Linked DNA regions of Ovis aries. The protein of the gene in region 1 interacts with the protein of each later gene in a pairwise test. Links are inferred from orthologs where the notes say so. Each region holds a gene or a part of one and is shown on either strand. Other genes may lie near its edges.

Region 1 (3,804 bases):
GTTTAGAAAGAACAACTGAAGCTTTCCCAACATTCTGTTGGGAAATCAGTGGGCGTGTGGGCAGGACAGGCATTCCCACCCACTCCAAGTCTGACATGAATTCCTCTCCCTGGGACCTGAATATGACTGTGCGTGGAGAAGTATGACCATGAACACAAAGGAGCAGGGGGGTGGCGGTGGTGGTGGTGGTGGTGGTGGTGGTGGTGGCGGCGGTGGTGGTGGTGGTGGTTGGTAGGGCGGGAAGTCCTACCCGAAGTCCACCTCGAGTACCTCACATACTTGAGTAACTTCCTCAAACCTTTAGACCCCCTCCGCCTTACCTCCAGCAGAGCAGAATTCTGCTTCAGGACGTTGGTTTTTATTTCAGCGTCTTCCACCGACCGGGTCACCTTCCGGCAGTTCTCCTGGGTCAGGACACCAGGGCAGGGGCCCTGCCTTCCCATTCCGGTTCCGTCTCCCAACCCTTATCCTTGTTATTTTCCATGCAGGTTCCACCCCCCTCAGCCGAGACGTGCCCACTTCTTGTGCAAGGACTGTCTCCACCCTTGGTTCACTTGGCTAAAGGGCGGGTTTGTCCTCGGACCTCTCCCACGCTCCCTGTCCGCTTGCCCCCATCTCTCTCCTGTCGACCACTCCACTCCTCCCCATTTCCTCTCACCCTCTTCCTACTCCTGCTCCCTTCTTTCCGCCCCGCTCCTGCCCCTCAGCAGCTCACCTTGAGTTGACTGCAGTACCCTTCTAGTTCTTCCGCCTCTTGCCGCCTTCTCTCTAAATTCTCACTCAGCACAGAGCACTCACTCTGGAGCATGGAAGGGAGGAGGGGTTAGCCAGCGCCTCCAGGGGACACACCATGGGGAGGAGAGGTGGGAACATCCCTTTCCCTTCTGAGCCTCAGTCTCCCCCAGCTGGGCTATGGGTGCATTGAGCTGGAGGATAGCTCAAAGAAGGGGAACGTGGCCCCGGAAGAAGAGGAGGTGTTGGCGGGGAGCGGGGTGGCCCTCACACCTGCAGCGTCTGCACGTGCTGGTTAACCCGGGTGGTCTTCTCCTTCAAACTGGTGATGGAATCCTTGGCGCGCACCAATCCACTGTTGACCCCACTCTGGGGAAGAACCAGAGACAGCCAGAGGTCAGAGGGTGTAGGGGAGCAAACCCCAACCCCAAGAGAAAGTCTTAAAACTGGCTTTACACCTGGCTTCTGCCCTGGAATAGCTGGTGGAATTGGGGGCCAGGGCTGCGCCTCTTTGATTCTCGGTGTTCTTGCTCCATTAAGCCAGGGGGCAGACTCTTTTTCTGCTTAGTGGATGGGAAGAAAAATAAGTAGGATCCAGGAGGGAGTGGGGGGTTGGGGGTTGCTCAGACATGTGGGAGAAGGGGGATGTTCTTAACCTGAGATAAATGCCTTTGGGTCCCGAGACATAAATAAGATAAACTGTTAAAACACATGCCCTGTCTTTCTCTCCAGGCAGTGGAGAATTCTAAAGATAACCCACTTTCCAAATATAAGCACTCACTATGCACCAAGTCACGCACTTACCCACGTTTTCCCATTTATTCCCCACAACCGCACCTCTTGAGGTTATTTTGGCGCATTTTGCAAGGGAGGCAAATGAGGCCCAGAGAGGAGATGTCCTTTGTATTCCCAGGTACATGGTATGTGAGGTGCCCTTGTCAGAATTTATACTCCGAACCATTGTTTTAAACCATGATGCCGTGCAGCTGCTGATCATAGCTACCTTATATCATCATAAAATGCTTTGTGACCCCTGTCAAAAAAACTGGCTCAGGAAGGCTGCATGTGACAGGATCTCCACTCTCCTGTCTTCCACATTTATAGAAGAGTTAGCCTGGCACATGACTGCCCAGCCAAAGACTACATTTCCCAGGTGCCCTTGCAGCTGGGCAAGCTCATGTGACTAAGTTCTGGCCAATGGAATATGAGTGGGAATAATGTAGGCCATTTCCAATTCATGCCTTTAATAAAAGAAAGTAGGGAGCATACTTCCCTTTCTCCCCATGATGTTGATGGCCAAAGCCAGGGCAGCCATCTTGAACTATGAGATGAAGGACACAAGATAAAAGAATATTGAATTCTCAACCCTGTGAAGCTGCCATACTCAATTCCAACCACTTTCAGGTACTTTACATGTGAGAAGGAGAACGTTTTCCACCTTGTTTATGCTACTTTGGGGACTTCCCTGGTGCTCCAGTGGCTAAGATTCTGGGCTTGAGTTCGATCCCTGGTCAGGGAAGTAAGATCCTCCATGCTGCAACTAAGAGTTTGCCTAAACACATGCCACAGCTAAAAATATCCTGAGTACAGTAACTAAAGACCCTACATGTCACAAGGAAGACCCAGTGCAGCCAAATAAATATTTAAAAAGCCCAACACTGCTACTTTGTGTCTTTTTTGTTACAGCAGCCAAACTTGTGACTTAATAACTGAGCCTCCAGAACCCTGGGGCCTCTGACCTGCTATACTTGAGATGTTTATGTCAGCAATAAACTATCCTGCTTCAACCAGATATTTTGGTTTTCTTTCACAGCTGCTAAAGTAATACACAAAGAAAAGAGAACAAGCTTCCTCCATTGTAAAATGGGAACAACCTCACATTTCTTGCACAACTGCTCTGGATAAATACCATGATAAATACTGTATTAAGGTGATATCAGCAAAATGGAGGAGTTGGAAACCCCCAAATTCCACCCCTCAATGAGAACAATGAAAAAAAGTGACCAAAACCGACTCAAGTCATTGGGAAGATTACAACAATCATAAATATATATGCACCTAATAGAGCTTCAAAACATATGTATCAAAAACTAACAGAATTGGGAATTCCCTGGCAGTCCAGGGGCTAGGACTCTGTGCTTTTACTGCCGAGGGCCCAGATTCAGTCCCTGGGTCAGGGAACTAAGATCCCACATGCCGCGTGGCACAGCACCCTTCCTCTCCCCTCAAAAAGAAAGAATGAATTGAAAACTAGAAAGTAGATCGGCAAAGAGACAGAAGACTTGAACAACACCATAAACCAACCAAACCTAACAGACATCTATAGGGCATAACACGCAACAGCAGAACACACATTCTTCTCAAGTGGAATGAAACATTCTTCATATGGTCAAGGACAGACCCTAAAGGATATGAAAACAAAGTGTGCTTTCTGACCTCAAAGACCTCAGTAGAATGAAATTAGGAATCAAACGCAGAAAGAAATTATGAGGAACTCACAAGTATTGATAAATGGAAATTAAACAACACACACTCATAAATAATGGGTGGAAGAAGAATCACAAGAGAAATTATACTTTGGAATGAGAGGAAAATGAAAAAAGATTACAGTGGAGAAAATAAAATAGAACAGTAGAGAAAAATCAGCATGCCGGAAGTTGTTTTTTTTTTTTTTTTAAAGATCGACAAAATTGCCAAATTCTTGGCTAGATTGACTATGAAAAAGAGGAAGAATACTCAAATCACTAAAATCAGGAAAGAAAAAGGGGACATTACTACCGGTCTTAGGGAAAGAGAAAGGATTACAAGGGAACTCTATGAACAATTGGATGCCATTAAATTTGATAACCTAGATGAAATGGAAAAATTCCTTGCAAAACACTAACTGCAGAAGAGATAGGACATCTGAATAGCCCTATAACAAGTAAAGGGTTTGAGTTAGTGATTTTAAAACTTCCAACAAAGAAAGCCCAGATGTCTTTACTGGTGAATTCTACCAATCTTTTTTTTTTTTCAAAAGAGTTGCTGCCAAATCATCTCAAACTCTTCACCAAAAAACAGAAGAGGAGGAAA
Region 2 (4,277 bases), on another chromosome or scaffold:
GAAATGGGGCCTGCAGACACGGCCCCTCCTCCTGCCCCTGCCGGCGTCCGGAAGGGCCCTGCCCCCACCCAGCCCCTTCAGAGCTACAGCCACGCACCCCTGGGCGTCACAGTGTGGCCACCGCCTGGACCCCATCCCCGTGTTTCTGTCACCTCCCACGGTAGCCGAGGCCCCCCTCCTGCACCCAGTCCGGCTCTGCTGCCTGCAGCAAGGATCTCCACGCCTGGCCCCTAAAGTCCTCCTAGGTCTGGCCTCCTCCTGGCTGCCCGGCAGCTCGCCGTGGACCCCAGCCCTGCTGGTGGACCGGTCCCTGAGCCCCTGCCCACCTCTCCAGGCTCCGCTGAGGGGCCGCAGCCTCCACACACGAAGCCTCTGGCGGCCACTGCCCGGACAGGCAGGCGAGGGCCCAAGATGGAGCAGTCCTGGGGGTGGGGTCACAAGCCTGCACCGTGGGGGAGCGGGATTCCAGGGTGCACAGGGCCAGCGCGGATGCATTCGCCCCAGGAGGCTTGCAAACTCCCCCTCGGGTCAGCAGTGATCATGGGGGCCTGGGGGCAAGGCTGCGGGGAGGGGCCTCGGGAAGGAGCAAAAGCTGTGTGTTTCCCAGGCGGGGGCACAGGTCAGAGGGGGCGGGTGGCCACCTGAACCCACCCAGCGCGGAGCAGGCCCCACTGCGAGGCCTTCCCGAGGTGGCCTGGGGCACGGTCGATCCTTTGAGCCGCCCCACTGCCCCAGACAGGCTCAGCCCCCGCAGCGATCCCCGGGACCCTCGGTGGGGCCTCTGGGCCAGCCGTGCGCCTCCCGCCCCGCACGCTCTCACCACCTGGCCCTGCAGACCCTCAGTGGCACCTCTGTCCCCATCCTCCACGGGGTCTGACCTCAGCCCTCAGCCTCCGCGAGTCCACAGCTGTGTGTGCCCGCCACGGCCCAGCCACAGGGCACTCACACCCTGGGTGATGCTGAGCCACCTTGGGCCCTGGGAAGGCAGGGCCCACTCCGGTCACCCGGGGCCTGAGGCCAACCCTCAAAGCTCCAAGGGCAGCGTCCCAGAGCCTGCGGTCTGGCACTCATAGGCCTGCAGCCAGGAGCACCCTGAAGCCCGTCCAGTCTGACCCCGCCCCGGGGGCTCCGGCAGTCCAGCACGCACGTTCTGGGCAGGGCCCCTGCGGCTCGCCCGAGTCTGCAGGCCTGACGTCCCTGGAGAACCAGAGGCCACAGCGTCCTGGGCGAGGGAGGGCGTGGGGAGCAGGCACCGCAGCAAAGGGCAACCCCAACAGAGTCCTGGGGGCGAGGGAGACAGGCAGGGAGGGCGCCTGGCCTGGGGGGCCTCGCGGCTGGCCCCTCTATAGTTCCACTGGTTCCTACCGAAGCCCCCAGGAGACTGCAGGCATCGGGCAGGTCCCTGCCGCTGGCCTCGGGGCCCGGCTGCCCTGCCCGGGGCCTTCCGCATGGACCTCCTGCAGGGAGCTCTGTGCGCCCGCCCGGGCGTGTGTGCGTGCTCCCCTCCCAGCAGCTGGCGAGCCCCGCTGAACCCCGGCACGGGGCTTCTGGGTCACCGCCACCCACCCAGACACAGGACGCCCCCTCCTCCGAGCACCCGTCCTGGAGACAGGCCGCGAGGGCGCGTGAACACGACTTGCGCCCACAGGGGCCTCGGCGCCCGGGCAAGAACAGAGCAGGCGGACGCCGTTTCCAGATGCAGAGACAGTCTAAGGCGCGAAGGTGGCACGCCTGCCCAGGATCCCGGTGCTCACAGAGGCCCAAGTGACGGAATTCAGGGCGCCCTCCCCAGCCCCCAGCCCCCGCCTCGGGCCCCGCCCACTGTGTGCACGCCCCACCGGCCTGCCCCCGCCAGCCGCCTGTTGCCCGGTCACAGGCTCTGGCCGCCCTTGGCTACGTGCTCCCGCAGGACCTGTCTTAAAGCGGGGCTCGGTCCCAGCGGCTCCTGCAGCCCCCGCCCCCCGCCCCTCTCCTCCACGTCCCGACCCCCGCCCCTCTCCTCCACGTCCCGACCCCGGTGCCGGGGCCCATCCATTCCCACAACGCCCACCTCCCCCAGGCCCTTCCCTGCCTGCACCTCAACTCTTCTTGCCCTCGGAACGCCAGCCCACCAGGGCTCCAGGCCACGGGGCTGGGCACTCACAGAGTCCGAGCTGCCCTCCACCCTAGCCAGCCACCTTCGTCCCCCGGGATCCAGGCGGCCCCTCCCAGGCCCGGCCCAGAGGTGGTGCTCATCCCACCTCAAGGCAGTGGCGGGGAGGCAGCCCTCCCTGGAGGGACAGGATCCGCTGCAGGGGCCTGGCACGCTGGCTGGACCTGGGCGGCCCCAGCCTGACTCAGCCCAGGGTGGCACGGCGAGCCCGCAGCAGTCCTGGGCGCCGGCTTCCTCTCTTCCGGCGGGCCGCAGGGCTCTGCCAGCCCAGTCAGCCTTCCAGGGCTCCGGGGCCCGTCCCCCACCCAGTTCCCACCCTGGGCAGCCTGGCTTTGTGACTTCACAGGCTGAAGTCACGCGGGGACAATGCTGGGCGTTCCACACCTCCAGGTGCAGGCCCAGCCTGGCCAGACGGCTCCCCGCAGCGCAGTCGAGGACGATGTCCGCTGGCCCGCGTGGGGGGGGGATGTAGAGGGCGGCGGCGCGGGCCGCTCCGGGCGCCATGGACGATGCCGCGGTCCTGAGGAAGAAGGGCTACATCGTGGGCATCAACCTGGGAAAGGGCTCCTATGCCAAGGTCAAGTCCGCCTACTCCGAGCGCCTCAAGTTCAACGTGGCGGTCAAGATCATCGACCGCAGGAAGACGCCCGCCGACTTCGTGGAGAGGTTCCTGCCCCGGGAGATGGACATCCTGGCGACCGTCAACCACCGCTCCATCATCAAGACCTACGAGATCTTCGAGACGTCCGACGGCCGCATCTACATTGTGATGGAGCTCGGCGTGCAGGGTGACCTCCTCGAGTTCATCAAGTGCCGGGGGGCCCTGCACGAGGACGTGGCACGCAGGATGTTCCGGCAGCTGTCCTCGGCCGTCAAGTACTGCCACGACCTGGACGTCGTCCACCGCGACCTCAAGTGCGAGAACCTCCTCCTCGACAAGGACTTCAACATCAAGCTGTCCGACTTCGGATTCTCCAAGCGCTGCCTGCGGGACGGCAGTGGCCGGCTGACGCTGAGCAAGACCTTCTGCGGGTCGGCGGCGTACGCGGCCCCCGAGGTGCTGCAGGGCATCCCCTACCAGCCCAAGGTGTACGACATCTGGAGCCTGGGCGTGATCCTCTACATCATGGTCTGCGGCTCCATGCCGTACGACGACTCCGACGTCAAGAAGATGCTGCGCATCCAGAAGGAGCACCGCGTGGACTTCCCGCGCTCCAAGCACCTGACGGGCGAGTGCAAGGACCTCATCTACCGGATCCTGCAGCCGGATGTCACCCGGCGCCTGCACATCGACGAGATCCTCAGCCATGCGTGGCTGCAGCCCCCCAAGCCCAAGGCCATGCCCTCCGCCTCCTTCAAGCGGGAGGGCGAGGGCAAGTACCGGGCTGACTGCAAGCTGGACCCGCGGCCTGAGCACCGGCCCGACCACAAACTGGGGGCCAAGACCCAGCACCGGCTGCTCGTGGTGCCCGAGACCGAGGACCGTGTGGAGGAGCGGCTGGCCGAAGCCTCCAGGGGCAAGGACCCCCACGTCTCCGGGGCCGAGGTGGGGAAGGCAAGCACCGAGCGGTGCTGAGGGCCCGGGGGGCATGCGTGGCGCCGCGCGGCCCCGGGGGCTGAGTGGGCGGTAGGAGCCGAAGAAGCCACAGGTGCAAGAACGAGTAAAGTCCGTCAATTAAACCGCTATTTTGATTACGTTCTATTAGCTTCCTTCCACTTAGTAGCAGAGACCTTAAACCCTGACCACCAAATAAACCACAGTGAACAGCAGAGAGGTGCGCGGAGTCTTTTTCTCTGGGACTCAGCACCCACTCCCTGCGGCCAGGGGGCTCCGGGGAGCCGGCCTTGTGGGCATGGAGTCCGCGGCCTCCCACCAGGCCCCCGCTGCCCTCCCACCCCGCTCGCGCCCCTCAGGCAGCCCGTCCTCAACGCCCGCCCGCCCTTTGGCCCTTCAGAACTTCTGGCGGCCCCCCTCCCGCCCCCTGCTCTGCCTCTCACTCGGGCCCCCCCAGACCTCCAACCCCACTTTCTGGGGCTCTCTCAGGCCCACGCCCACCCTTCCCTACTGGGACGAAGCATTAAAAGCAGCCCTTTCCTGACCCCATGGCCCCAGCCCCGCGCCCTT

Evidence for each region.
Region 2: the proteins of TSKS (region 1) and TSSK2 interact in binary tests that used the Homo sapiens proteins (3 or more experiments, as listed by UniProt). The link is inferred for Ovis aries from reciprocal best matches to the Homo sapiens genes TSKS and TSSK2.

Annotation. Positions count from the first base shown.
Region 1 is NC_056067.1:55,855,824-55,859,627, forward strand, and holds part of TSKS (testis-specific serine kinase substrate), read right to left. Parts: intron 1,293-3,804; exon of another isoform or gene 1,269-1,292; coding exon of another isoform or gene 1,191-1,268; intron 1,102-1,190; coding exon 1,006-1,101; intron 800-1,005; coding exon 716-799; intron 432-715; coding exon of another isoform or gene 405-431; coding exon 321-404; intron 1-320. UniProt on the Homo sapiens protein: May play a role in testicular physiology, most probably in the process of spermatogenesis or spermatid development.
Region 2 is NC_056070.1:72,624,627-72,628,903, forward strand, and holds TSSK2 (testis-specific serine/threonine-protein kinase 2), read left to right. Parts: upstream 1-1,640; 5' UTR 1,641-2,654; coding exon 2,655-3,728; 3' UTR 3,729-3,744; downstream 3,745-4,277.